Linked DNA regions of Macaca fascicularis. The protein of the gene in region 2 interacts with the protein of the main gene of each other region in a biochemical or structural test. Links are inferred from orthologs where the notes say so. Each region holds a gene or a part of one and is shown on either strand. Other genes may lie near its edges.

Region 1 (5,961 bases), about 650 kb from region 2:
AGTGGGTAGCAGAGTCAGAACTGAGCCTCAGGTATGGGACACCAAGGTCTGAGCTCTCAGATTCCAGGGGGCATTAAAATCACCAAAGGCAGCTGAGCATGTTGGCTCATGCCTATTATCCCAGCACTTTGGTTTGGAGGCTGAGGTGGGTGGATCACAAGGTCAGGAGTTCGAGATCAGCGTGGCCAACATCGTGAAACCTCGTCTCTACTAAAAGTGAAAAACTTAGCCAGGTGTGGTGGCAGGCGCCTGTAATCCGAGATACTCAGGAGGCTGAGGCAGGAGAAGTGCTTGAACTTGGGAGGCAGAGGTTGCAGTGAGCTGAGATCACGCCACTGCACTCCAGCCTGGGTGACAGAGCAAAACTCCGTCTTGAAAAAAAAAAAAATCACCAAAAGCACCTACCAAAGATGCAGATTCCTGGGTCTCACCCCAGAACTACAAAATCAAACTCTCCAAGGGTGGGGCCAAGGCATCTCTGCCTTTTCAGGGTGTCTCCCTGGGACTCAGATGTCCATAAGAGTAAAAGATCCTTTCTCTATGCTACACTGTTTGTATTGCTTCCAGGATTGTATTGCCACTGCTAGGGAACTCTAAATCCCTCATGGTCTTGGTTTGGTTGACACCAAGAAACAGAGAGAAACTTCAAGCCTTAACCTTTTTTTCCTTTTTTATTTGAGACAGGGTCTTGTTCTGTCACCCAGGGTAGAGTGCAATGGCGTAATCACAGCTCACAGCAGCTTGGACCTCCCAGCCTCAAGTGATCCTCCTACCTCAGCTGCCTGAGTAGCTGGGACCACAGGTGTGCGTGCACCACCATGCCTGGCTGCTTTTAACATTTTTTTGTAGGGACAGGGTCTCACTATGTTGCCCAGGCTGTTCTTAAACTCCTGGGCTCAAGCAATCCTCCCGCCTTGGCCTCCTAAAGTGTTGGGATTACAGGCGTGAGCTACCATACCTGGCCTTTAACATATAAATAATTCTGTTTCTTTTCTTTTTTTTTTTTTATTTTGAGACAGAGTATCGCTCTGTCACCCACGTTGGAGTGCAGTGATGCAATCTCTGCTCTCACTGCAAGCTCCATTTCCCTGGTTCAAGAGATTCTCCTGCCTCAGCCTCCCAAGTAGCTGGGATTACAGGCATGCATCACTACACCCAGCTAATTTTTGTATTTTTAGTAGAGACAGGGTTTTACCATGTTGGCCAGGCTGGTCTCAAATTCCTGACCTTACTCATTCATTCATTTGCTCATTCATAACCCCTTCTCTGTCACTCACAGGAAAATTGCTGAACCTATCTGAGTCTCAGTTTCTTCATCTATAAAATGGGGATAATCATTTTATCTACCTGATAGCACTGTTGGGAGAATTAAATCAGATAATTCACTTGAAGTGTTGAAAACAATGCAACCTCGGGTGATCTGCCTGCCTTGGACTCCCAAAGTGCTGGGATTTAAATAATTCTGTTTCTTGGAAGGCCTTGAATTTTTAGGAGGTGATCCTGGAAAGGCTATCCAGGCTGAAATGATCAAAGTGAAATCTAATTAGGCCTCTCAAGCACTTTAGGAGGCAGAGGTAGGCAGATCACCTGAGGTCAGGAGTTCGAGACCAGCCTGGCCAACATGGTGAAACCCTATCTCTACTAAAAATACAAAAATTAGCCAGGTTTAGTGGCGGGTGCCTGTAATCCCAGCTACCCAGCCTGAGGCAGGGAAAACTGCTTGAACCCCGGAGGCAGAGGTTGCAGTGAGCCAAGATCGCACCACTGCACTCCAGCCTGGGCAACAGAGCAAGACTCCGTCTCAAAGAAACAAAACAAAACAAAACAAAACAGTTAGGCCTCCCAAAGTCTATGACCTTGTTGTCCCCTCTGCCAGGAAGAACCTGCTGTCTTCTTCTCCTCTGTGCTCCCAGCTCCCACTACACCCCCAGCACTGGCTCTTGCTCTTTCAGGTGCATTGGAAACACTCCAGGATTCTGTTAAAAGGAAGATCCCTGGGCTCCACAAAAGGGCTCTGAGCGAGTAGGGTTAAGATGAAGCCTGGGCAGGCCGGGTGCGGTGGCTCACGCCTGTAATCCCAGCACTTTGGGAGGCCAAGGCAGGCGAATCACGAGGTCAAGGGATCGAGACCGTCCTGGCCAAAATGGTGAAACCCCATCTCTATTAAAAATATAAAAACTAGCCGGCCATGGTGGTGGGCACCTGTAGTCCCAGCTACTCGGGAGGCTGAGGCAGGAGAATCGCTTGAACCTGGGAGGTGGAGGTTGCAGTGAGCCGAGATCGTGCCATTGCACTCCAGCCTGGGCGACAGAGCAAGATGCTGTCTCAAAAAAAAAAAAAAAAGATGAAGCCTGGGAATCTGCATTTTAACTAGTAGGGCAGATGGTCCACGAACCACATTTTGAATAACACTGATGTTTGCTGATGTTTGTCTCAAGTTGTGTCTCTCTCTGACAGGCTGTGAGCAGCTTGAGGGCAAGGTATGTACTACACTCTCACACCTAATAATACACTGAATGAATGGCTGATGGCTGGCATTTTTTATTAAATGCTTCTTATGGGCGTGGCACTGTTTTATTTTTTATATTTTGTTATTTTATTTTGAGACAGAATCTTGCTCTGTCACCAGAGCAAGTGGTGCAGTGGCACCACCACCGTTCAATGCAGCCCTGACTTTCTGCGTTCAAGCAATCCTCCCACCTCAGCCTCCTGAGCAGCTGGGACCACAGGCATGTGGCACCACACCCAGCTAACTTCTTTAATTTTGGAGAGTCAGGGTCTCACTGTGTTGGCCAGGCTGGTCTCAAACTCGGGGGATCAAGGGATGCTCCCACCTTGGCCTCCCTCCCAAAGGGCTGGGATTTTAGGCATGAGACACAGCACCCGGTGGCACTGTTTTCAACACTTCAGGTGAATTATTTCATTCTCCCAACAATGCCATAAGGTAGAGAGAATGATTATCCCCATTTTATAGATGAAGAAACTGAAACTAAGGCTCAAAGAAGTTAGGCAATTTTCCTGTGAGTGGCAGAGGAGGAATTATGAATGAGCAAATGAATGAATAAGAGAAGAGAAAATAGCTAGGCACGGTGGCTCACTCCTGTAATCCCAGCATTTTGGGAGGCCGAGACGGGTGGATCACCTGAGGTCAGGAGTTTGAGATCAGCCTGGCTAACACTGTTGGTGAAACCCCGTCTCTACTAAAAATACAAAAAAATTAGCTGGGTGTGGTGGTACATGCCTGTAATCCCAGCTGCTCGGGAGGCCAAGGTAGGGGAATCGCTTGAACCCAAAGGTGGAGATTGCAGTGAGCCGAGATCACGCCACTGCACTCCAGCCTGGGCAACGAGAATGAGACTCCGTCTCAGAAAAAAAAAAAAAAAAAAAAGTGATGACCTAACAGGGGGGCTTTAGGTGACACAGGGAGTAAGACGGGGGCTCAGGTGGCAGGGGAGGGGCAGGAGGTAGCTTCCATACCTTGCAGCCCTCACAAGTGATACAGCGGTAGTGATAACCAGTTGCTTTGTCCCCACACACGACACACTGCTCGTCTTTGTCCAGGTAACTAGGGATATACCCTGGGAGGAAGGAAAGGATGGAGGAAGGCAGGCATGGCTTGAAGTCCCAGCAGAGGGGCTCTCACACTTTTCCCCATCCCTCAACTTTTTGTTTCTGGCCCCTCTCCTAGCCCAGCCTCCCTGGTAGAATCCTAGAGAGACGGGAGGTGAACCTGTCCATCCTCTGCCCTAAGAGTATGAAGAATCTCAGTTCTTCTGACTACCCACTCAGGGCTTTCTTCTTGCTCTATCTACAAGGCAGAGGATGGTGGAGAGGGAAAAATAAATCTCAGCAGCTCACTGGGGATAACACAGCCCCTCAGTCCTTCAGCTCAGGCCCTGATTCTGGTGGGGCCTCAGATGAGAGTACTAGGGGGAGGGAAGAGGCCTTCCTGACCTAATCCACCCTCAAAAGCTGGGCACATCCATCATCACCTTTCTCAGCCCCAGACAAGTCCATCCCAAGCCCTCTAGGAAGCTCCCCCCAGGGAACACAGGAACTACTGTTCCACGTCCAGGTCCAGAGGGAGCCCTGGCTGGGTTTGGTGGGGTCGGGGACGTGGAGAAGGGGCACGCACAGCCAGCCTCACCTGACATGCTGGTTTTCAGGGAACATTGGCCGTTCTTTCTTTTTCGCTTTCCATCTGGTGACCTGGCACTGGATGGGGGCAAAGTGGGCAGAATCACAGAGCAGTCTTCGGGTGGCCCCTTTCTCATCCAAGAGGCTTATACAATCCCCCCCAGGCTCCATTTTGTGTCCTCATTCTACCTCCCACCCCCAGGGTCAGCTGACAATGCTTAAAAGGGTCCAGCTATCTGGAATTTGCAGGGGAGAGAGATAAGGGGCTTGGCTGTGGCACAAGCATGTTCTAGAGCCCCAACACACACACATTCACCCACCAGAAGACCTGAAGCACCCACAATCCGCAGGACATCCTCATCTTTCAGTACACGACAAATACGCTGGAAGAATTCTCAGGATATGCTTAAAGCTATGTAACCTTTAGAACACACACATACATATGCAACATAACACCGGCGCAGATGAATAACCATGCAGCTTTCACTATAAACCCACGGATGGTGAGTATGCACCAGGGCTGACATATCTGTGAAATTTTCAGGGCATTCTTAAATGTGCTATACAACCTCTAGGATATGGCCCGGTGTTACACAACACTCTGCACAGGCACCTCATAAAACCACCCTCATCCCGCCAGTGTGCACGTGTTGCTTGAGCTCCAGATCATACATACATGCTAAATAACCCACAGCAATGGAAAACACTAGAGTCACCCCCTGCACAGCCTCCATTTAACAAAGCAGCAAACTGAGACCCTACTTGTGCCTGGTGACACCATGAGCTGGAGTCAGAGCCAGGACTGAGCCCCTCTGTGCAAGGTATTATTAGCAACCCTCAGCCACTGCACATATATGTTGCCAGGCTCTCCACATACATGTTACATAACCTCAGTGCACACAGGTTACATAAACCCTCTACATGCATGCAAGGATTGTATAAGCTCCCGCACCCACCCTGTGTGTGGCATGTTGCAGGCCCCTTCCTCCTGGAGCCGGATGCAGCTCCCAACACACTGACACAGTGACCTTGGCCAGGGTCACAGTCACAGACAGTTCTGTGCTCCACGCCCCCTGGGGATTACTCCCGTCTACTTCCTACGAGGCTGAAAGGTCAGGTCTCCCTCACGCCTTCCAGAAGGTTGGGTGCAGGGGAACTCAGGCCACCTAGGTCCCAGTTGAGCTGGCAGCTTCAGGAGTTACCACCAGACTCACAGCCTCTGAGTGCAGTCCTAGAGATAGCCACAAGGTGGCGCATAGACATGGGGGAGGGGAAGGCAATGGGGGAGGGGCTGCAGTCTTAGGGGACTAGGAACTGGCATTCCTGCCTTTCTCCAAGCCTTAGGAGCAGACTCTTGCAGACCCACAGAAGCCTAAGCTGGGAGACACAGGGGCTGCAAGTGACAGCCACACAGCTACAGGCCAGATCATCCTCAGAGTCCTTCCTGGGGTGAGGCTTTGGGGAAGGGGGGCTATCCCATGCCCTGCCGAGCTGTGAGTTCCATCTACTTCCTCTACCCTTCAGGGACCCAGTTGTGGGCCTTAGGGCTTTGCCTGGCCAGGCCTCTGGCTTCCTGGCTCAGGATCTGATCTCCTAGGAAACAGTCAGCCACACTGCTCCTTGGAGCACCCCTACCCCCACCCTCTCCTTGGCCATAGGCACAGGCTGTACCCAGCTCCCAGGGCACCGTGCCAACTGGGACAAAGCTCTGTGCCACTTGGAGCTGATGGAAAAGGCAGAGACCCTCTGGGCTCCTCCAGGGCAATGCAGATCATAGGTAACCATCCCTTGGTGTATGTGCAAGGCTGACACCTCACCCACGTG
Region 2 (6,459 bases):
CCTCCTGACCTCAAGTGCCCGCCTCAGCCTCCCAAAGGACATTGCTCTGTTATCTTCTAGAGTAGAACTTTTCCAATGGTGTGTTTCATCTGCATTTTCAGATGACAAATAACTTCTCATTCGATTGTGTAACCAGAAGTTAGTAAAGCTTATTTATAAGCTTTATAAAGTTAAAAATGTACTAGCAACACTTAGTACAGACATTTTTTTTATTTGTATAAAAAGTTTCCATGAGAAAGTGTAGTTGGGTATCTGGCATTGGTACTTAGGGCATAATAATTAATGAAAAAAATTTGAGCCCCTGTGATTACAGTGAACAATCATATTTTCAGAACTCTAAATAAGATTAGCCTATCAAAGGCTAGGGTTGTGTTTTTATGGTTGTTTATTTGTCTGAGACAGCGTCTTGCTCTACCACTCAGGCTGGAGTGCAGTAGCATGATCTCGGCTCACTGCAACCTCTGCCTCTGGGATTTAAGCGATTCTCCTGCTTCAGCCTCCTGAGTAGCTCTGTGCCTGGTCGTGTTTTCATGTTTGTATTACCAGTTCCAAATATACACATATTAGGACTCCACAGATGCTTACTAAGTGAAGAACACTTAGTTTGAGGATAGCAAATTATACAGTTTTTTCTTTTTTTTTTGAGACAGAGTCTCACTCTGTCACCCAGGCTAGAGTGCAGTGACATGATCTCTGCTCACTGCAATTTACGCTTCATGGGTTCAAGTGATCCTCCTGCCTCAGCCTCCTGAATAGCTGGGATTACAGGAGCGCACCACCGGGCTAATTTTTGTATTTTTCGTAGAGACGGAGATTCACCATGTTAGCCAGGCTGGTCTCAAACTCCTGACCTCATTTGATCCACCTGCCTCGGCCTCCCAAAGTGTGGGGATTACAGGCGTGAGCCACTGCGGCCAGCCAGAAATAGTTTTGAAACGAAAAAAATGAGAAAAGGGGAATGAACTGTGCTAGTCTCGCTTTGAACATCATGTTACAATGCGCCACTATCTTTTTTTTTTTTTTTTTTTTTTTTTTGAGACGGAGTCTCGCTCTGTCGCCTAGGCTGGAGTTCAGTGTCACGATCTCCGCTCACTGCAAGCTCCGCCTCCCGGGTTCACGCCATTCTCCTGCCTCAGCCTCCCGAGTAGCTGGGACTACAGGCACCCGCCACCACGCCCGGCTAATTTTTTTCTATTTTTGGTAGAGACGGGGTTTCACCGTGTTAGCCAGGATGGTCTCGATCTCCTGACCTCGTGATCCGCCTGCCTCGGCCTCCCAAAGTGCTGGGATTACAGGCGTGAGCCACCGCGCCCGGCCGCGCCACTATCTTTCTTAGGATGTAATTACTGCGTCTAGTATCTCAGGTTAAACTTATTTTTCTTTTTTTTTTTTTTTTTTTTTTTGAGACGGAGTCTTGCTCTGTAGCCCGGGCTGGAGTACAGTGGCCGGATCTCAGCTCACCGCAAGCTCCGCCTCCCGGGTTTACGCCATTCTCCTGCCTCAGCCTCCGGAGTAGCTGGGACTACAGGCGCCCGCCACCTCGCCCGGCTAGTTTTTTTGTATTTTTAGTAGAGACGGGGTTTCACGGTGTTAGCCAGGATGGTCTCGATCTCCTGACCTCGTGATCCACCCGTCTCGGCCTCCCAAAGTGCTGGGATTACAGGCTTGAGCCACCGCGCCCGGCCCAAACTTATTTTTCATGAGACATTTCTGATACCGATACCCTTTGAAATGCTAGTCTTGGCCGGGTGACTAGCCAAGGCGAAACCCCGTCTCTACTAAAAATACAAAAATTAGCCAGGCGTGGTGGCGGGTGCCTGTAATCCCAGCTACTAGGGAGGCTGAGGCAGGAGAATCGCTTGAACCCGGGAGACGGAGGTTGCAGTGAGCCGAGATCGTGCCATTGCACTCCGGCCTGGGCGACAAGAGCAAGGCTCCGTGTCAAAAAAAAAAAAAAAAAAAAAAAGCCAGTCTTTAAGTACAGCGACATGTTAATTAATCAGTTAATTTGCGAGTTAACTGCTAAAATAAAATAAGCAAAAAAATGCCGGTTTCCGAAGGGAGCTGAAAGCTACATACAGCGGCGTGAGGCCTGAGACAACTCAGATCAAAGAAGACAGGGCTGAAAGAAATCTCGCGAGGCCCACGCATCGACCAATATTCGCGAGATTTCGATGCCCTGTCCTTTTCCTCTTTCTGGCAGGACCACGGTTTATCTCGCGAATTTTGGGAAGTTCCGTTGGGGAAGATGGCGGCGGCCTCGAGCACCCTTCTCTTCTTGCCGCCGGGGACTTCAGACTGATCCTTCCCGCGAAGAGTAAGGGACTGCTGGTACCCTGCGTCCTGGAATCCCGAGCCAACTTGTTTCCCCCGTTAGTGGTGGGGAAGGGCTTATCCTTTTGTGGCAGATCCAGTCTCTCGCCGCCTTCAGGATGAAAGCTCAGGGGGAAACCGAGGGTAAGTGACTGAGGGGGAAAGGAGGGGGCGGGACACAACTGGGGGAGCCAGTTTGTGAGAGAAGGTTCTTGCAGATGTCCCATGGGGGCCACTTGAGGGGCACAGAGTCCGGGAGAGGGAATGTGTATGAGTTTTAGATTGTCACTATACCCTCCTTGATGACTATAGAGCTTCGACTTTGGGGTGATGGGGACTCTCAACTTCTGTGAAGATTTCATGCTCGGCTAGGGCACTTTTGGCCTAAAGTGGTGCGAGACGGGGCTAGTGAATACAAAACCAGCTTACATCTCCTTCCAGAAGAGACGCCTGAATAAATTTAGGGCTGTGTGTAAACGTACTGGAGACTATTTTGGCATGAATGAAATGATTAATTCCTTGTATTTATTAGCAGCCAGCGGATCCCTACAATGTCAAGTGTTCAGATCCTGTACTGTTGTGTATTTTGTTTTTGTTTTTGTTTTTTTTTTTTTTTTTTTTTTGAGACGGAGTCTCGCTCTGTCGCCCAGGCTGGAGTGCAGTGGCCGGATCTCAGCTCACTGCAAGCTCCGCCTCCTGGGTTCACGCCATTCTCCTGCCTCAGCCTCCCCAGTAGCTGGGACTACAGGCGCCCGCCACCTCGCCCGGCTAGTTTTTTGTATTTTTTTTTAGTAGAGACGGGGTTTCACCGTGTTAGCCAGGATGGTCTCGATCTCCTGACCTCGTGATCCGCCCGTCTCGGCCTCCCAAAGTGCTGGGATTACAGGCTTGAGCCACCGCGCCCGGCCTGTTGTGTATTTTTAAACTGTGCTGAATTTAATTCTTTTATTGACCGAACTAATAACTGCAGAAAAACAACTTTCCTGGGGAACTTTACTAAGATTTTCTAAAGTTCCACACTCCGGCTTAGATGCTTCCTTGGCATTTTGGGCATAGTTCTGTTGATACAGTGAGCTGTGTTATTGTTTGTTTATCTCCAGTTTACTCTGAGCTTTGCAGATTAGGGTCCTTGCCTGATTCATTTTTATATAGTTTCTGGAACGTAATAGTCGCTCAAAAAATCTTGGAGCATCGAAGTGCAGATATTTATCAGCAGGTTTCTCAAGAAAAACAAGGAGTGTGTTTTGGAGGAGAGGTCGAAAGGTGAGGCCCCGCGGGAGCAGTGACTCACATCTGTAATCCCTGCGCTTTGGGAGGCTGAGGCTGGAGGATCCCTTGAGCCCAGGAGTTCGAGACCTGCCTGGGCAACATAGTGAGGCCCTGTCTCTACAAAAAAATGAAAAATTGCCGGGCGCCGTGGCTCACGCCTGTAATCCCAGCACTTTGGGAAGTCGAGGCGGGCGGATCACCTGAGGTTGGGAGATTGAGACCAGCCTGACCAACATGGAGAAACCCTGGCTCTACTAAAAACACAAAATTAGCTGGCTGTGGTGGCGTATGTCTGTAATCCCAGCTACTTGGGAGGCTGAGGTGGGAGGATCACTTGAACCCAGGAGGTGGAGGTTGTGGTGAGCCAAGATTGTGCCATTGCACTCCTGCCTGGGCAACAAGAGGGAAACTTCCTCTCAAAAAAAAAAAAAAAAAAAAAATTGGCTGGGCGTGGTGGCTCATTCCTGTAATCCCAGCATTTTGGGAGACCAAGGTGGCGGATCACCTGAGGTCAGGAGTTCAAGACCAGCCTGGCCAACATGGTGAAACCCTGTCTCTACTAAAAATACAAAATTAGCCCGGCATGGTGGCATGCCTGCAATCCCAGCTACTTGAGAGACTGAGGCAGGAGAATCACTCAAACCCAGGAGGTGGAGGTTGCAGTGAGCCAAGGTGGTGCCACTGGACTCCAGTCTGGGCAACGAGAGCAAAACTCTGTCTCAAAAATATAAATAAATTAATTAAAAATAAATAAATAAATAAAATAAAAAATAAAAAAAATTAGGGCCAGGTAGTGACTCAAGGATGTAGTCCCAGCACTTTGGGAGACCGAAGCAGGCAGATCACTTGAGCTCACAAGTTGGAGACCAGCCTGGACAACCTGGCAAAAGCCTGTCTCTACAACAAATATAAAAATTAACTAGGCATGGTGGCACAAGCCAGTAGTCTCAGCTACTTGGGAGGCTGAGGTGGGAGGATTACCTGAATCCTGTAGGTCAAGGCTCCAGTGAGCCAGAATTGTGCCACTGCACTCCAACCTGGGTGACAGAGCGAGACCCTGTTTCAAGGAAAAATTAGCTATAGCCCCAGCTACTCTGAAGGCTGAGCTGGGAGGATCACTTGATCCTGGAGCATGGGAGGTCGAGGCTACAGTAGACCTTGATTGTGCCAATGCACTTAAGCCGGGGCTGCAGAGTGATGCTCTGTCTTAAAAAAAAAAAAAAAAAAGAAAAAATGTACTCCTCAGGTGCAAGGGGAGAAGGGTAAAAATGGAAACTTTGTGAAGTAGGAGTTTTTGTCTGGTTTGTTCACTGCTGTCTTTTTAGCAATTTCATTTATTCTTTTTCTTTTTTTAAAAAATTTTCCTCTCTAACCCAGTTCAATAACTTTTTTTTGACACAATGTCTCCATCTGTTGCTCAGGATGGAGTAAGTGGTGTGATCAAGGCCCATCTCTGAAGCTTCGACCTCCCAGGCTAAGGTGATCCTTCTGCCTCAGCCTCCAGAGTAGCTGGGGACTGACTATAGGCACATGCCAGGAGGCTTGGCTAATTTTTTTCTTTTTCTTTTTTTTTGAGACAGAGTTTTGCTCTTGCTAATGCTGGAGTGCAATAGTGTGATCTCGGCTCACTGCAGCCTTTGCCTTCTGGATTCAAGCTATTCTCCTGCCTTAGCCTCCCAAGTAGCTGGGATTACAGGCATGCACCACCATACCAGGCTAATTTTGTATTTTCAGTAGAGACAGGGTTTGGCCGGGTGCGGTGTCTCAGGCCTGTAATCCCAGCACTTTGGTAGGCTGAGGTGGGTGGATCATCTGAGGTCAGGAGTTCGAGAGCAACTTGGCCAACATGGTGAAACCCCGTCTGTACTAAAAATACAAAAATTAGCTGGGTGTGGTGGTACATGCCTATAATTCCAGCTACTAGGGAGGCTGAGGCAGGGGAATTGCTTGAACTCGGGAGGCGGAGGTTGCAGTGAGCCAAGATTGCACCACTGTACTCCAGCCTAGGTGACAGAGCAAAACTCCATTTCAAAAAAAAAAAAAAAAAGTAGAGATAGAGTTTCACCATGTTGACCACGGTGGTCTCAAGCTCTTGACTTAGGTAATCTGCCTGCTTCGGCTTTTTAAAATGCTGGGGTTACAGGTGTGAGCCACTGCGCTTGGCCTGACAAATTTTTTTTTTTTTAAAGTAGTGACGAGATCTTGTTATGTTGCCCAAGCTGTAGTTGAACTCCCCAGCTTAAGTATTCTCCCATGTTGGCCTCCCAAAGTGCTAGCGAGGATTACAGGTGTGAGCCACAGTGTCTGGCCTCCCCAGCACTTTTACTAGTGCTTGAGGTCGGGTGTGGTGGCTCACACCTGTAATCCCAGCAGTTTGGGAGGCCGAGTGGACGGATCATCTGAGGTCGGGAGTTCGAGACCAGCCTGACCAATGTGGTAAAACCCCATCTCTACTAAAAATACAAAATTAGCTTGGTGTAGTGGTGCGTGCCTGTAATCCCAGCTACTTGGGAGGCTGAGGCAGGAGTACTGGTTGAACCTGGGAGGAGGTAGAGGTTGCAGTGAGCCGAGATCGCGCCATTGCATTCCAGCCTGTGCATCAAGAGTGAAACTTCGTCTCAAAAAAAAAAAAGTTTGGATAGAAAACAGTCCAGCTGTATGGTATTCCTTACATCAGACCTATAATTTGTGTGTCATCTTGCCATTAAAAATGTCTTCTTTTTTTTTTTTTTTTTTTTTTTTGAGACTGAGTCTGGCTCTGTCGCCCAGGCTGGAGTGCAGTGGCCGGATCTCAGCTCACTGCAAGCTCTGCCTCCCGGGTTTACGCCATTCTTCTGCCTCAGCCTCCCGAGTAGCTGGGACCACAGGCGCCCGCCA
Region 3 (5,961 bases), on a different chromosome or scaffold from region 2:
CTTCCTCTCTTAAGCCCCATCCTCACCCTTTGCAAGGTAGAGCCCCAGAGGTTGCCCACCTGCCTGCCCCCTGGGTCGGGGCCACTCACACATCTGTCCATTGCTGAGGTGAGTGGGCATTGTGTTGGCAACGATGACATTGGTTCCCATGTGTTCCTGCATCAGGTGAGGGTGCAGGGGGTGGTGGGCATGGGGTGCATCGCTGGAGGACCCTGCAGGAAGAGAAGATCGATCAAGATGAAGAGTCTGGGATGCAGACCTCAGGCCTTGGGACGCCATCTTCCTCAGGTGTGACCAATCAACCTGCCCATCCAATATTGGCAATGCCTGTTGGGGACCTATTCCTGGGTTAGTAAACTAGGGTGTACCATTCCCATTCGTAGGCTTCATGAGGGTGTTAAGAAGGCCCCAAAAAACCAAGAGAACAAAAGTGAGTTGAAAGAAACAAGGTGCCTATAAGGAAGCTCTGAGATCAAGTAAATGTTCTAATGAGTAGCGTATTGGATGTAATCAATGGCTCTCAAGGCTCCTTGGCGTGCAAGTCCTTCAACCATTTGGTCCCGCCTCACCTTCCAGCCTCATCCCCCACATCTCTGCTGCAGCCAACTGACCTACTTATAGCATCTATGTGTCCCCTGTGTTTTCCTATCTCTATGCTTCTGCTCACGTTGTTGCTTCCGTCAGAGATGTTTTTTCCACCCCAAACCCGCTCCACGTCCATAAGCCCAAATCCCAGCTCATATATTTCCTCTCTTTAGAAGCCTCTCCTGATTCTCCTCGTTCTCATTCCTTGGATTTCTCATAGTAATTTATCTGTAACACAACTTTTAGGAACAACTACTTCTTCTGTCTATGAGCATTACAATTTCAGATGTATTTTTCTTCTTTCTTTGAGAGCCTAGCAGATTGTCTGGAACACAGTAACCGCTTTAAACATGTGTCAGGGAGTAAAAATACCACATGGGGTATGGTTTAATAATAGCCTATGGTGAGTAATATGACAATGATGGAATTTCAATGCTTGTAAGAGATCTCTACAGCACATCGATCTCAGTGATAAATAACGACTGTTGATAATTAACAATTACCATGTGCCAGGTACTGTTGTATAGCACTTTTCATGTTTTACATAATTTAATCCTTACAACAATCCTATAGAATGGATACTATTATTACCCCATTCTACAGATGAGACAACTAAGCCCAGAGCTCTTAACTATTTGGCAACAGACCACAGGCTCCTGATCCTAATCTCAGTGACACCTGATTCATAGTAACCCCATGTTCACAGGGTCAAAGTGAGAATGAAATAAGCTATCACACAACAGTGGTTCCCAACTGGGGATGATTTTGGCCCATCAGGAGACGTTTGACTATATCCGAAGACATTTTTGGTTGTCACTACTGGAGAAGTGCTACTGGCACCTTATGGGTACAGGACAGAGATGCAGCCAAACAACGCACAGGACAGCCCAGCACAACAAAGAATCGTCCAGTTCCAAGTATCAATAGTACCAGTGTTGAGAAACCTCGCCCTCACTGAAGCACCTCCAAAATCTCGAATTCAACATCCCTACTTTGACTTCACCTTGTGTCCTTCCAGCTCCCTTAATCTAGTACCATCACTGCAAAACTTCTTCAGCCTACTGAGGCTGTCAATTCACTGACACTCTCTTTTCACTATCACCCCATCCTTTTGTTGTTGTTGTTGAGACAGAGTCTTGCTCTGTCACACATGCTGGAGTGCAATGTCACAATCTCGGCTCACTGCAACCTCCGTCTCCTGGGTTCAAGCGATTGTCCTGCCTCAGTCTCCCGAGTAGCTGGGATTACAGGCGCATGCCACCACGTCTGGCTAATTTTTTTTGTATTTTTAGTAGAGATGGTGTTTTACTGTGTTGGCCAGGTTGGTCTTGAGCTCCTAGCCTCAAGTGATCCACCCGCCTCGGCCTCCCAAAGTGCTAGGATTACAGGTGTGAGCCACCGCACCCAGCCTCTGTCTTTATTTCTCTTTGAGTGCAGCCCAGACTGCATGACCTATCATTCTAATCACTCCCTTGCAGTCATCCTAACTCCTTCATACTCCCCTTCACAGTCAAACCATTTCAAAGGGTTATCTACTCTATCTCCACCTTCCCACTTGCTGTCTTTGGAGCACTCTCCAATCTGGTTTCCACTCTCCCAGCTCTCTGAAACTGCTTTCAACACAATTGCCAAGAGCCTCCAGCTGCCAATCCAATGGACTCTTTCCTCTCTCTTCCCCTCCTCCCTTCACCTCTCCATTCCTCCCTCCTTCTTTCTGTCTCTCTGCAGAGTGTAACACCATTAAACACTCTGTCCTTCAAACACGCTCTTCTCTTGGATTCTGGAATTGCCCTGGTTTTCTCCTACCCCTCCGGCCATTCTTCTTCCCTTCCCTCCATGGCTCCATCTTCCCCCGATTCCACAGAGCTGCCTTTAATCTTGTGCTTGAGCAGCAGACTCATACATTCAACTGCCTCCTCGGCAACTTGGACTTGTAATAGTCATCTCATGCTTAATGAAAGTCCACAATGAGGCTGGGCATGGTGGCTCACACCTGTAATCCCAGCACTTTGAGAGGCCAAGTCGGAAGGATTGCTTAAGACCAGGAGTTCAAGACTAGCCTGGGCAACATAGTGAGACGTCGTCTCTATAAAAAATAAAAATGAAAAATTAGCCGGGTATGGTGGCACACACCTGTAGTCCCAGCTACTCGGAAGACTGGAGGATCTCTTGAGCCTGGAAGGTTGAGGCTGCAGTGAGCTATGACTGCGCCACTGCACTCCAGCCTGGGTGACAGAGAGAGATCTCGTCTCAAAAAAAAAAAAAAAAAAAAAGGAAAAAGGAAAAAAAGAGAGTCCACAACGGATCTCTGAGGTCACCCCTCACGACCACCCCCAGACCGCAGCATCAAGTTGTTTATTCTGTCCTCCTCATCTCGGTAAACTACTCCATCATCATTTCTGCTATTCAAAGCAAAAATTTAGACTCTGTCCTTGACTATTCCTCTTCCTGTCACTCCCTACATCTAATCAGTCAGCAAATCCTGTGGGTGTGGGCTCTTCCTCCAAATAGATGATCCGGTTTATCTTCACTGCTCCATTTCCATGGTCCAAGCCTTCATCATCTGTCACATGATTGGAGACAGTGACATTCTCAGGAATCTCTGCAATTTACTTTGTACCCAACAGTCTGAGTGGTTTGTTTAAAGCATTAGTCTGGGCTGGGCATGGTGGCTCATGCCTGTCATTCTAGCAGTTTGGGAGACCGAGGTGGGCAATCACTTGAGGTCAGGAGTTTGAGACCATCTTGGCCGATAGGGTGAAACCCCATCTCTGCTAAAAATATAAAAAAAAGAGCTGGGCGTGGTGGCGGGTGCCTGTAATCCCAGCTACTTGGGAGGCTGCACAGGAGAATTGCTTGAACTTGGGAGGTGAAGGTTGCAGTGAGCCGAGATCCTGCCACTGCACTCCAGCCTGGATGATAGAGGGAAATTTTGTCTCAAAGAATAAAAATAATTAGTCTGGTTTTCACTCTCCTTACAATAGTTGCAATGAGAATAAAATCCAAATTTCTGACAAGGTTTACAAAGCCATATGTTTATGATTTGGTTTCTGCCCAATCTCCATCTTCACCTCCTCCATCTCCTCCATCTCACAACCTTGCCCTTCTTTCTCAAACACACAACTCTCTCCTCTCCGGGGCCCTTGAAGTAGTTCCTTCTTCTTGGAATATTCCTCTCTTTTTTTTTTTTTTTTTTTTTTTTTTTGATGGAGTCTCGCTGTGTTGCCCAGGCTGGAGTGCAGTGGCACGATCTCGGCTCACTGCAAACTCCACCTCCCAGGTTCACGCCATTCTCCTACCTCAGTCTCCCGAGTAGCTGGGACCACAGGCGCCCACCACCACACCCAGCCGATTTTTTGTATTTTTAGTACAGACAGGGTTTCACTGTGTTAGCCAGGATGGTCTCGATCTCCCGACCTCGTGATCTGCCCTCCTTGGCCTCCCAAAGTGCTGGGATTACAGGTGTGAGCCACTGCTCTCTTGTCTTTTAAGCCTTGCACTTCCTTTCAGCCATTAGGGTCTTAGCACAAGAGTCACCATTTCAGAGAGGTCTCCTTTGGCCTCCCCTATCTAAAGAGGATTCCTTTTCAGTTAAACTCTACCATATTACCTGTTTATTTCAAAATCATAAAATGTGAGCCTTTATACACACATGCACACACATACGGGCATATACACAGATATCCATGCATCTATACACACTCACACATACACAGCCTCCCGGAGGGCAAAGATCATGTTCTTCACTGAATTGCCAGCACTCAGAACAGTGACTGGCATGTGCTAGGCTCTCAGCGCCTGAACAGATAGACCATTGCCTTTGTTCCCATTTTTCTGATGAGGAAACTGAGGCACAGATGGGTTAAGCAACTTGCCCAAAGCTGCACAGTGGGGAAGCCAAGGAGCTGAGGGGTGAGCTCAGGTCTGTGTGAGGCTGTCTCCTAGAGAGTCCCCCCTCCAACCCTGCCCCTCCTGGGCCTGGCACGGACCTCCCAGCAGCATCTCCTGCAGCAGGTTGTCGATCTTGGCCATGCCGAAGAGCTTGATGAACTGGATCTGCTCGATCATCTGCCAGGTGATGCTCTGCAGGGTAGGTAGCAGCAGCAGCAGCTCTCCAAAGCGGCCGCGCGAGTCATACTGGCGGTCATTGATGTAGTCTTCCAAGCTCACCTGCACCTGGGAACGCAGCCGCTTGATCTTCCCTGGATCGCTCAGCCCTTTGGCATCTACAATGGAAGAAGGTGGGCAAGGGAGGGCAGTAGGGTCCAGCTGGAGAATCTGGGGAGTCAAGACCCAGATGTCCCCTGACTTGTGTCACACAAGGAGTCTTCAGCAGTGTGGGCACAAGGATTCAGGGACCTCAACAACCAGGGTATGCCAGTATGAATTGTAATTTCCTAGACACAGGCAGAAAAAGATTTCTGCCACGTTTCCTAAGGCACTAAACCAGAAGAGTGGGGAAAAGGAGATGGAGGGCGGGACTTGAGGAACGCATCCAATAAGCACCTAGCAACTGCCTCATCTTACACAAGGGGAAACCCAGACACAGTGCAAGGATAGGGCTTGTCCTGGGTGGCACAGCCAGTTGTTGGCAGAGCCACGATGGGAACTTGGGGTTTTGGGCCACAGTTGAGGTCCCCTCATCCAGACCTCAGCACTTGCTGCCTCTACTGTGTTAGAATAGGCTCCCCTTCCCTGGTTCCTGCTTCCTATCACCTTAGGGACTCAGGTTAGGTTTCATCTCCTCCAGGAAGTCTCCCTTCTACCCTCCTATGTCTGCATCCTGTGTCCTTCCTGTTTCCAAATCTCTGCGGCCCCTCCATCACTGCTGACCACACAGGATGTAATTGTTGTGCCATCCAAAGTTGAGCTCTGCAGGGGCAGGCATATGTCTTATTTGCCATTTTTATTTTATCTTACTTTATTTTATTTTATTTTTTGGGACTGAGTCTCCCTCTGACTCCCAGGCTGGAGTGCAGTGGTGTGATCTCAGCTCATTGCAACCTCTGCCTCCCGGATTCAAGCGATTCTCCTGCCTCAGCCCAGGCACATACCACATCCAGCTAATTTTTGTATTTTAGTGGAGACAGGGTTTCACCATGCTGGCCAGGCTGGTCTCAAACTTCTGACCTCAAGTAATCTGCCTGCCTCTGCCTCTGAAAATGTTGGGATTACAGGTGTGAGCAACTGCACCTAGCCTTTGCCATGTCAAACCCACCACCTAGCACCATGCATAGTCAATATTTATTGAATAGGGCCGGGCGTTACATTTATTTATAACTATATATATATTTTGTTAGATGGCTGGATGAATGAATGAAAAAAAATCAGTGAATAAATTCTAGATCCTTAGCCTAGAAGGGACTTAAGCGGTCA
Region 4 (5,961 bases), on a different chromosome or scaffold from region 2:
CTTTTCTTCGCCATTTTCACATTAATTCCAGAGGAAGAGCATTGAAAAATTTCTGGTATTTGGATTGGTGAGAGGCATAAAATAACACAGAGCCAGTTTTCTCAGGGCAGAAACGAACTGGAAAGTTCTGGGTTTAACTCTGTGAATGACCATCATCTCACTGGCAAGGCAGTAATTTAGGCAATAACTGATGGCTTTTCTACACAGCTAAGAGGTTCACAAACGGATATATGGCACCTCATATCTGCTTCCATCCAGAGCCAGCAATGTTAACTCACTTTCCAGCTCCCCGTATTCCAGCACTGAATCTGAGCATTAGTATCTAGGAAGCATTTTTCTCCTTCTACCGGAAATACAGCTATTGCTGCTACTTAAAATGATAATAACGTTGCTTAAGATCGATTTACTTATCTTTCTCAACCATATTGTTTATGTATTTTATGGCAATATGCCAAATGAACTTTTGGGAAGAATTAAGGTACAAACATACATAAATATAGCAATCTCCCAACACATCTACTAAATGTGTCAGTACTCTATTGTTTTAAGAATATTGGCTGGGCGTGGTGGTTCACGCCTGTAATCCCAGGACTTTGGGAAGCTGAGGCCAGCAGATCACTTGAGGTCAGGAGTTCGAGACCAGCCTGGACGACATGGTAAAACCCCGTCTCTACTACTAAAAATACAAAACTAGCCAGGCGTGGTGGTGCGTGCCTGTAATTTCAGCTACTTGGGAGGCTAAGGCAGGAGAATTGCTTGAACCCGGGAGGTAGAGGTTGCAGTGAGTTGAGACTGTGTCATTGTACTCTGGCCTGGGCAACAAGAGGGAAAGTCTTGTCTCAAAATAAAATACAAAAAATTAGCCTGGCATGGTGGCACACTCCTGTAGTTCCAGCTACTTGGGAGGCTGAGGCAGGAGAATTGCTTGAACCCAGAAGGTGGAGGTTGCAGTGAGATCGCACCATTGCACTCCAGCCTGGGTGACAAGAGCGAAACTCTGTCTCAAACAAGAAAAGGAAAAAAAAGAATATTAACACTGTATGAGCATTTAAATATAAGTATTATATACACTGTTAGTGTTACAACAATAAAACATGGGAATAAATGAATGAAATTTATATGAGTGAATTGATAAAGGAGGATCCCTTCTCCAGTAGAACTCCTTATACTTACCTATTTTGGCAAAAAATGTTTCAGTATGGTTAGGAAATGGTCTTTATTTTTTTCTTTTCTGAGACGGGATCTTGCTCTGTTGCCCAGGCTGGAGTGCAGTGGTACAATCATGGCTAACTGCAGCCTTGACCTCCTGGGCTCAAGTGATCCTCCTGCCTCAGCCTCCCTAGTAGGTGGGACTACAGGCATGTGCCACCACACCCAGCTAATTTATAAATTTTTTTTTTTTTTTTGTAGAGAAGAAGTCTCACTATGTTGCTCAAGCTGGTCTGGAATTCCTGGGCTGAACTCCTACCTCAGCCTCTCAAAGTGTTGGGATTATAGGCATGTGCCACCACGCCTGGCCAGGAAATGGTCTTTAAATGGTCTTCATTTTGGTGAAGGATGCCGGGGTCATATATGCCAGGAAACCTGTCTTTCTCCAGGATTCCCAGACTGTTTCACAAGTCTACATGGCCAACCCTTCTCCTCTCTATCACTTCATTCTACTCTCAGAGTTGGGGTGTGGAGGAATCATGTCGTTGAATTTAAAGAGATAATATGAGGATGCCAGTCAAGCCAGCTGGAGTAACACAACAGTGAGCTGGGAGTTCTAGGCCTGGCTCTGACGTGCTGGCTCCAACACCAGGAAGGGATCCTGGCTGGCCATTGGACCTTTCTGGGCTTCTACACCATCATCCAGAAAGTGAGGGGATGGACTAGCTCTCCAGTGCTGGCCTGCAGAGTAATGCAGGATAGGCTGCACTTCATAATACAGATTTCTGGTCCTACGCCAGAGGTTCTGATTTAGCGGGTCTAGGGTAGGGCCTGAATCTCTATTTTAAAAAAGCAATGGAGGCTGGGTGTGGTGGCTCATGCCTGTAATCCCAGCACTTTGGGATGCTGAGGCGGGTGGATCATATGAGGTCAGGAGTTTGAGACCAGCCTGGCCAACATGGCGAAACTCCGTCTCTACTAAAATAAAAAAATTAGGGCAGGGTGTGATGGCTCACGCCTATAATCCCAGCACTTTGGGAGGCCGATGCGGGTAGATCATGAGGTCAGGTGATCGAGAACAGCCTGGCCAACATGGTGAAACCCCATCTCTACTGAAAATACAAAAATTAGCCGGGCATGGTGGCATGCACCTGTAATCCCAGCTACTTAGGAGGCTGAGGCAGGAGAATCGCTTGAACCTGGGAGGTGGCGGTTGCAGTGAGCCGAGATAGCGCCACTGCACTCCAGCCTGGGTGTCAGAGCGAGACTCCATCTGGAAAAATAAAAATACATACATACATACATACATACATACATACATTAGCTGGACATGGTTGTGGATACCTGTAATCTCAGCTACTTGGGAGGTTGAGGCAGGAGAATCGCTTGAATCTGGGAGGCAGAGGTTGCAGTGAGCCAAGATGGCGCCACTGCACTCCAGCCTGGGTGACAGAGTGAGACTCCATTTAAAAAAATAAAAAATAAAAAAAAGGAGTGGTGGATGGGTGATCTCCAGCCCTTCTTATAGCTCAGTCTAGGACTCTGACTCTGTTCCCTAGATACTGCAGAAGTTTCTTACCTGAATCCTGGGATCATCTTAGCAAAGCCAATGACCTTCTGGATGCTGTAACTGACCAGGTCAGCCAGGTGGGGCAGCATGGAAAGCTGGGACAGCTCTAGAGTCAGAGAAGGGTCATCTGAATCTTCTTCACTCAGATCCAGGTTGGAGAAGCTGGACGAGTCCATCATGTCTGGGGGAGATGAGGGAAGAGAAGGAGCTATTTAAGGGTACTTGGACCAGGACCACTCCTGCCAGCCCCTGCAAAGACCTGGTGTGCCCTGGCAGGAGAGCCAGCTGGGAATCCCGCAGTGATTCCAGAGGTCACCCTTCAGCCCAGGCTTCCCTCTGGGACTCTCTCTGCCTCTTTCAGCAGCGTGAGACAGTAAAAGCAAGGAGCCAGAGACACTCAGAGCAATGAGACTTCCTCAGGCAGACCATGTGCTGTTCCTACGGATCTCAATCAGAAATGAATTTGGGACCCATCAACCCATGGAAAAAAATGTTCAACCTTGCTAATGATCAAAGAACTGCAATGTAGAACATCTACACTTTTCACCTATAAACCAGAAACAAAAATGTTTAAATACTGATGCCAGTATTTATAAAGATGTAGGAAATAGGCAATGCCTATGAGGGCTGGGGTGCTAAAGGAGATGCACATTACTGCAGGTAATCTAGAAAGCTATTTGACATTAGTGAAACAATTGTGTGTACTCTTTGACCAGTAATCCCACTTCCCGGAATTCATTGTAAGGGAAAATTTCAGATAAGTGTAAATATTTAGCTATAAGTATACTGTTGTCTTACTAAAACACTGGGAAATAATCCAGATATCCAATAGTAGGGGATTTAGGTACATTATTGTATTCCAAAATACTGTGCAGCCTTTAAAAATTATGTTCTGGATGCATACTAAATTGTAAGGAAAAACAATGCAATATTAAAAAAACAAGTCATCAGATTGTATACAGCAAAATTTCTTTTCTGAATGTACATATGTGTTTTTAAAAAAAGAGGCAAGAGATATATTACAGTGCTAACAGTGATTATCTTTGGGTAGCAGGATTAAAGTATATATATATATATAATTTAGTTTATGTTTTCCAAATGTCTAAGATGAACATGTATTACTTTTGTATAATAATTTTTTTAAAAAATAAAAAGGTTAACTTGTTTGAATTTTTAAATAAATATATGCTATACTGAACACACCACTTGTGGGGAGGGCGGTTTAAGCACCTTGAATCAGTGAACTTACAAGAGGGTATCAAAAAACTCCTAAATAGGCAGGGCGCAGTGGCTCATGCCTGTAATCCCAATACTTTGTGAGGCCAAGGCAGGCAGATCATCTGAGGTCAGGAGTTCGAGACCAGCCTGGCAAACATGGTGAAACCCCATTTCTACTAAAAATACAAAAATTAGCCAGGTGTGGTGGTGGGTGCCTGTAATCCCAGCTACTCTGGAGGCTGAGGCAGGAAAATGGCTTGAACCGGGGAGGCAGAGACTGTGCCACTGCACTCCAGCCTGGGTGACAGAGTGAGATTCTGTCTCAAAACAAAACAAAACACAAGCAAAAACAAAAAACAACAACAAAAAGCCTCCTAAGTAGTATAGAATTACTATTGAAAGCTGAAATACAGAGCAACATATGGATTAAACAGACTGGCCTTAATTGATATAAATAAATATGCTATCAACTGAAAAGAGCAGGAAGGTGAGTACAGAAAAGTGACAAGTGGGAGGGATTCCTACGAGGTGAGGGGCTGGGAGGGTCAGCTGATCATGCAGGGAGCAAGTGTTCTAACTAGTATCTCTGTCCAGGGGCACTGGGACCCTTTCCATCTATTCTGGATCTGGGCAGAGATTCATCACTGAGTATGGAATTACTTTATCTAAGGTTCTAATTGCCTGGAGGGGAAAGTTTTTTCCCATCCCTGCCCTCCTGCAGACCCCAAGCAGAGGACAGCAGGGTCAGGTTAGGGGTAGAGGGAGGAAGGACAAGAGCAGGGGGCAGATGAGGCAGGGTGATGAAGAGGAAGGAAGAAAAAGGCCATAAGAAGGAAAGCATGGGCGGGGCGCGGTGGCTCACGCCTGTAATCCCAGCGCTTTGGGAGGCCAAGGGGGCAGATCACAATGTCAGGAGATGGAGACCAGCCTGGCCAACATGGTGAAACCCCATCTCTACTAAAAATACAAAAATTAGCCAGGTGTGGCGGTACGTGCCTATAGTCCCAGCAACTCAGGAGGCTGAGGCAGGAGAATCGCTTGAACCCAGGAGGCAAAGGTTGCAGTGAGCCGAGATGGTGCCACTGCACTTCAGTCTAGGCAACAGAGCAAGACTCCATCTCAAAAAAAAAAAAAAAAAAAAGGAAGGAAGGAAAGCATGATGCCTCCCAGACTCTCAGTTGAGCTGGAGGGGACAGGTCCTCCAGGGCCAGAGTGGTCCCCAGAGCTCAGGTGGAAGGTGGGCCGCAATGGGACCAACACATTCTCCTTCCCACTCCAAATTTCACCTTCTGAAGGGCCCAGGATTAAAATATCACTTAAAGGAAGCAGGTCACCTCCAGGGAGGGGGCCATGGGCTGAAGCCTGGCTTAGAGGAAAAAGCATGGGCCCGGGAGCCCGATGCTGCACAGCTGGAATCCCAGCTTGGCCTCTTCCCCAGTGTGGGCCTTTGGGCAAGTCACCCCCTTCTGTAACAGACGGGCTGTTTTGAGGACACTGCATGGCACACAGTATGTATGTAAGTTTCCATTAGGGAGCCTTCCACCTCCTTCCATCCAGCAGCCCCAGGGCAGGTGGGGTGGACTCCTCACCCCCGCTCCCTTACTCCATGGAGGACTGAAGTCCTGCTTACCTGGAGAGGCGATATAGTGATCTGAGCAGCAGGAGGAGGAGTCCCCAGAGAAGCTGGGAGTGTGGCTCGAGTTGGGCCTGGAAGGATGGCTCCCTCCACCATCATTCACACGAACTGGAGGCTGGAAGGGAAAGATGGGGTCTCAGACCCACATTTTGGGGTCACTTTCCTATCTTGGCCCTGATCTCTGATAGGAATGGCTTTGAGGAAGGTCTATGGAAAGGCGAAGCCTCTCAGTGCCAGCAGTCAGAGCAGCCTCCGTCCCTACCCCAGTTCTGTTCAGGATGTCCCCTGCCCTCTGTCCCTACTCCCTGGGCCCTGGTTCCACTAGTGCTTCTCCTCTGGACCGATTCATCCTCCCAGCAGGCAGACATACCCGGAACTGGCAGAAGTC
Region 5 (5,961 bases), on a different chromosome or scaffold from region 2:
CTGTCTCAAAAAAATAAAATAAAAATAATTTTAAGAGGAGTAACAAATGGACTTTAAGTTACCTTGAGATGAATGGGAGACAAGAAAAAGGGGGAAGAGAAGAGAAAGGGAGAGACAAAAAAGAAGAGAGAAGAGAAGAGAGAGAACAAGCAAGTGCCTGGCCTGGAAAGGCTTGGAAGGAAGCAGAGGCTTGAGGTTCATAAAGGAACAGAGAGTCTAGCAAGGGAGCCCCAGGCAGGCCCCAAAACACATCTGGCTAGTTCCTGATGTTGCCAGGCCATGGTTCTTTTAGAAAGAGAATGGTGAAGGTATTATTGATTTATATATGAAGGTAATTATATCATGGATTAATTTGCCCCAAAATTAGCAGAACGTTGATTATAATTCACGCTCAGAAACAAAATATGTCTTCCTTTAAAGAAGGAAGAAAAAAAAACCATTACTTTAAAAAAGTTATCCACAATGTTTATATTCTCTTCTTTATTTTACCAATGAGTAAAATGTTTTTAAAAGAAGAAAAAAAGAATTACGGTGCAATGTTACCGTCTCAAAGTTTTATGATAATATTTGAAAGTAACGAATTTCAATATCCAATATGCCCTTAGTACTTTGTTTTAGATGTTTATCTCCCTCTCTCCTTTCTCATTATACCATCCCTTCCCTTCATACCTATTATCATTAGAAATGTTAATAATTAGATGGAAATAACCCATAACATTACCTTGCATTTAAAGAGTACACACATCCTTTATAACTTCAGGGAATGTTAACTGAAGCCTTACATCAATAGTTTCCACCAATCTTTATATAATGTTATTATTCTAGTTCATGGTTAAAAAGCTTATACCAATCATCTGTCTTTTCAGGCTTTGCATGTCTAGAATTTCATTTAAGTTGTAATACTGCCACAGTTACTTTTATCCTGGAAACAATTTGTCATTAACATTAAATTGTGATTTCACTATAAGACGACTCTAAAATTGAAAGTAAAGTAAAAATCATTTTTCAAATCCAAATAACTCCGTTAACAGTGACTTAAGTTCAGACCAGGCGCAGTTGTTCATCACGTCTATAATCCCAGCACTTTGGGAGGCCAAGGCAGGCGGATCATTTGAGGTCAGGAGTTCAAGACCAGCCTGGCCAACATGGTGAAACCCTGTCTCTACTAAAAATACAAAAAAAAAAAAAATGAGCTAAGCATGGTGGCACGCGCCTGTAATCCCAGCTACTCAGGGGGCTAAGGCACTAGAATCGCTTGAACCCAGGAGGTGGAGGTTGCAGTGAGCCGAGATCGCGCCATTGTACTCCAGTCTGAGTGACAGAGCGAGACCCTGTCTCAAAAAAAGAAAAAGAGTGACTTAAGTTCAGTCTTTACTGTATAAAGACAATAGTCATGATAGCAAATTCTCCCCACAACACTGATGTACACATACCACTTTTTAATGAGAACTAAAGTATCAGAATAGAACAGGGCATCCTGTGTTTTGGGTGCTCTAAGTAAACTATGTAATTAATAAAATAAAGAACTTAGGCCAGGCGCAGTGGTTCACGACTGTAATCCCAGCACTTTGGGAGGCCAAGGCGGGTGGATCACGAGGTCAGGAGATCGAGACCATCCTGGCTAACATGGTGAAACCCCCTCTCTACTAAAAATACAAAAAATTACCCAGACGTGGTGATGGGCACCTGTAGTCCCAGCTACTCGAGAGGCTGAGGCAGGAGAATGGCGTGAAATCGGGAGGTGGAGCTTGCAGTGAGCCAAGATGGTGCCACTGCACTCCAGCCTGGGCGACAGAGCGAGACTCCGTCTCAAAAAAATAAAAATTAAAATTAAAATAAAGACCTTGTCTAACATATTATTTCCTTCTCACTAAACCATAAAGTGATTTGAGAAATGGCTAGGAACTATAATTCAGAATGAAGACTGGACTTACCTGTTTACAGGTAAGGTGTGTTCTAGTGATCTTGCTTCACACCAGGGACTCTTTTGAGGTTCTGCATATAGATGTGATAACTGGCGATGGACTGCTAAAGGAGAAAGGTGTCCAGGTGTTGGCCACAACACATTTGGGCTTGCGGTCTGCCGACCAGGCCCACCTTCCAAGTTAGTGACATTGCTGGGACTGCTGTAATTCATCACAGCAGGGCTATAGAATGTCATGGCTGGATATTCATGGTGGCTCTCTACATAGGAGGAAGGTATGTATATAGAGCCGTGCTCCAGGGGTAAGATGGATTGACTGCAGTTGTAGGAGGAAGGAGAATTAAGGCTAGATGGTGAATTTTTTATATCCATGTCTTGAGATAACAGCTGAGAAAACACCTTGCAAGAAGAGGCACAAAGGTCATTATAATGTTCTCAAAGATTCGTGGGCAAGTATAATGGCTGTAAAGAAACACAGAGGATATTGCCAAGTTAGTTAGAGCTACAGGTGTAACTACAAAAATTTAAATATTTTCATTAAAAAAATACACACATTTGTATGAGATTACAAATACATCCTGAAAATATATATATGAAAATATTAACCTCAGAGGAGTGGGAATGTGAGGCATGAAACTCACATTTTCTGCTTCATTCATCTCTTCATTGTTTGTTTGTTTAATCAACAGTTTAAGCACAAGAGTTTAATGATGAAAATTTATTATAAAATAGTCTTTAAAACTAGAAAACACAGGATTAAATAAAAATGAAAGTTGTTATGGAAAAATAAGCAAGAATAACCAAGTAAACCCTAAAAGAGAAGATCAATGAGCAAGGCTAGTCTCAACCAATATTAAAATACACTGAGGCCAAGTGAGTGAGTTACGCCTGTAATCCCAACACTTTGGGAGCCTGAGGTGGGTGGATCACTTGAGGTCAGGAGTTCGAGACCAGCCTGGGCAACATGGTGAAACCTCATCTCTACAAAAATTAGCCAGGCATGGTGGCATGTGCCTGTTGTCCCAGCTACTCAAGAGCCTGAGGCAGGAGGATTGCTTAAACCCAGGAGGCAGAGTTTGTAGTGAGGAGAGATCATGCCACCGCACTCCAGCCTGGGTGATAGAGTAAGACCATATCTCAAAAAAAATAAAAAAGAAAACATGTTATGAATCTTCAATAATGAAAGACAACAGGTATTAGCAGAAGAGACTGACCAGTGTAACTGTGTCACTTATCAATCTGTTGCCTCTAGGTTTTGTTTTGCTTTTGTCTTTTTTTTGTTTTTGAGACAGGATCTCACTCTGTCACCCAGGCTGGAGTGCAGTGGCGTGATCTCAGCTCACTGCAACCTCCTGCCTCCCAGGTTCAAGCGATTCTCCTGCCTCAGCCTCTCAAGTAGCTGTACTACGGGTGTGTACCACCATGACTGGCTAATGTGTTGTATTTTTTAGTAGAGATGGGGTTTCATCATGTTGGCCAGGCTGGTCTCGAACTCCTGATCTCAAGTGATCCACCTGCCTCGGTCTCCCAAAGTGCTGGGATTACAGGCGTAAGCCACCACACCTGGCCTACCTCTCAGTTTTGAATGTGCCCTTCAATTTTTGCTCTACAGTAAACAACATAATTTTTGCATGTAAAGTGAGCACAAAGCTGGGGGTACTGGCTCATTACAGGCAAATCTTTTTTTTTTTTTTTTTTGAGACAGAGTTTCGCTCTTGTTACCTAGGCTGGAATGCAATGGCGCCATATCAGCTCACTGCAACCTCTGCCTTCCAGGTTCAAGCAATTATCATGCCTCAGCCTCCTGAGTAGCTGGGATTACACGCAAATGCCACCACACTAATTTTTGTGTTTTTAGTAGAGACAGGGTTTCACCATGTCGGCCAGGCTGGTTTCGAACTTCTCGCCTCAAGTGATCTGACTGTTTTGGCCTCCCAAAGTGCTGGGATTACAGGTGTGAGCCACTGTGCCTGGCCACAGTAATAGACAATATAATATCTGAGGTATAATTCATCACTTTCTTTCCCAAAACCACTCATTCCCTATTTGTGTTAATAGAAAAAGCCTATTATAGTTACCTTTGACTTCTCCCCTTGACTCAGTTAACTTTAATCACCAAGGCACGTTGGTTTTTTTTCCCAATGCCTTTTTTCCTCTGTCTGTCTTTTGCTGCCATCTTGAAGTAAGCTCTCATTACTTTTTTTTTGCTTTTTTTTTTTTTTTTGAGATGGAGTCTCACACTGTCACCCAGCCTGGAGTGCAGTGGCGCGATCTTGGCTCACTACAACTTCCACCTCCCAGGTTCAAGCGATTCTCCTATCTCAGCCTCCCAAGTAGTTGGGATTACAGATGCCTATCACCAAACCCGGCTAATTTTTTGTATTTTTAGTAGAGGCGGCATTTCACCATGTTGGCCAGGCTGGTCTCGAACTCCTGACCTTATGATTTGCCCACCTCAGCCTCCCAAAGTACTGGGATTACAGGTGTAAGTCACCGTGCCTGGCCCAAAGTTTTTGTGTGTGTGTGTATTAAAATACAGGTAACATAAAATTTACCATCCTAGCCATTTCTAAGTATAAAGTTCAGTAGTGTTAAGTATATTCACATTGTTGTGCAACCAATCTCTAGAACTCATTTCATCTTGCAAAACTAAAAGCCTCTATCTGTTAAACAAATTCCCCACTCCTCCCCTCCCCCAGCCCCTGGCAACCACCAGCCTACATTCTGTCTCTATGGATGTGATGACTCTGGGTACCCAGCAGTGGTGAAACCAACTATCAGACCACACCAACAAACGACAAACGCCAGGATGCACCTAGCCAATCAATCAGGTGCATGGCAACTTTGCTTAGAAAATATAGATCTCACATCTCAACATATCACCAATCAACTTGTGTAGAATTTCCACATACCCCCAAAGGGATGATAATTACAGTCAGAGAACTGACTTCTGGAGAGTCATTAAAAGGCTAGGTGCTTTTTGTTTGGATATATTTCAGATATACCAGATTCATGTGATTCACAGATTCACTCTTTGTCAGTGGCATCTTGAATAGATAGGAACTTGGTAGCCAAGGCAAAGATTTTTTCTTCCTAAGCAGAGCCATAATAAGGGGAAGGAATGATGAACTTACACCATTGTAATAGTTCTCTGAGACAGGACAACAGGTAGTAAAAAAAATTAAAAAGGGGGGGGTCTCTTCTCTACCAGAGGTCTATAAAAATAAATCAACAAACCCATTCTGGTTGAGAAGCCCTCCTCTAAAACAGAGATATAAACTGGTCAAAGGAAAGACTCCCCAAAAGATTTAATTTAACATTGTAAGGCAGCATTTTCCCAACACATCGTTTGAATGTTCAAACATGGCCTCAGTACAATGTTCTGGTACAACAGGAAAAAAAAAGTCTCTAAAGAGTTTAATTGTTGGGCCTGGCATGGAATTTCACCTGGCCAACCAAAGAACCAGTACCAGACATCCTGATTCTAAGAATTATTCATTTATTTGCATGTCAATTTTCTTTAATTAGTCACCATAACCTAAAATAGTTGGTCCATATCCTGGGTGGGGAACAGCCTGTGTTCTGTCTAGAGATTTCTCTCACTCCCCCAGCACATACCCCTCTGTTTGGCCCTCTCAGGTCACATCCGAATTCAGCCAGAAAGCTTTTTGTACACATGGGATCATGCATGGTGTTCTAACATACTGGCTGGGGAACATACTATGGCTTCTGAATTTAAAAAAAGGTATTTAAAATTCCCAATATTGACAGTGATTCATGGAGAAGAAAAAGGTTGGCCCTAGAAATGGCAGAAAGACACTCCAAAAAGACTAGACTGATTTTTATCAAAGCAACTATAAATCTAGTTAATAAGAAATCAGGGCCGGGCGTGGTGGCTCACACCTGTAATACCAGCACTTTGGGAGGCCAAGGCGGGCAGATCATGAGGTCAGGAGTTCGAGACCAGCCTAACCAACATGGTGAAACCCCATCTCTACTGAAAATACAAAAATTAGCTGAGTATGGTGGTGCATACC

What was found.
Region 1: the proteins of MED1 (region 2) and THRA form a complex in vitro, tested with the Homo sapiens proteins (6 studies listed by BioGRID, with this or other methods). The link is inferred for Macaca fascicularis from reciprocal best matches to the Homo sapiens genes MED1 and THRA.
Region 3: the proteins of MED1 (region 2) and HNF4A form a complex in vitro, tested with the Homo sapiens proteins (2 studies listed by BioGRID). The link is inferred for Macaca fascicularis from reciprocal best matches to the Homo sapiens genes MED1 and HNF4A.
Region 4: the proteins of MED1 (region 2) and VDR form a complex in vitro, tested with the Homo sapiens proteins (5 studies listed by BioGRID). The link is inferred for Macaca fascicularis from reciprocal best matches to the Homo sapiens genes MED1 and VDR.
Region 5: the proteins of MED1 (region 2) and ESR2 form a complex in vitro, tested with the Homo sapiens proteins (2 studies listed by BioGRID). The link is inferred for Macaca fascicularis from reciprocal best matches to the Homo sapiens genes MED1 and ESR2.

Annotation. Positions count from the first base shown.
Region 1 is NC_088390.1:61,145,243-61,151,203, reverse strand, and holds part of THRA (thyroid hormone receptor alpha), read right to left. Parts: intron 4,216-5,961; coding exon 4,148-4,215; intron 3,579-4,147; coding exon 3,478-3,578; intron 1-3,477.
Region 2 is NC_088390.1:60,493,922-60,500,380, reverse strand, and holds the start of MED1 (mediator of RNA polymerase II transcription subunit 1), read left to right. Parts: upstream 1-2,238; 5' UTR 2,239-2,432; coding exon 2,433-2,457; intron 2,458-6,459. UniProt on the Homo sapiens protein: Component of the Mediator complex, a coactivator involved in the regulated transcription of nearly all RNA polymerase II-dependent genes.
Region 3 is NC_088384.1:100,499,751-100,505,711, reverse strand, and holds part of HNF4A (hepatocyte nuclear factor 4-alpha), read right to left. Parts: intron 4,812-5,961; coding exon 4,575-4,811; intron 213-4,574; coding exon 60-212; intron 1-59. UniProt on the Homo sapiens protein: Transcriptional regulator which controls the expression of hepatic genes during the transition of endodermal cells to hepatic progenitor cells, facilitating the recruitment of RNA pol II to the promoters of target genes. Activates the transcription of CYP2C38.
Region 4 is NC_088385.1:54,595,780-54,601,740, forward strand, and holds part of VDR (vitamin D3 receptor), read right to left. Parts: coding exon 5,944-5,961; intron 5,689-5,943; coding exon 5,568-5,688; intron 2,901-5,567; coding exon 2,729-2,900; intron 1-2,728.
Region 5 is NC_088381.1:132,118,761-132,124,721, forward strand, and holds part of ESR2 (estrogen receptor beta), read right to left. Parts: intron 2,387-5,961; 5' UTR 2,297-2,386; coding exon 1,935-2,296; intron 1-1,934.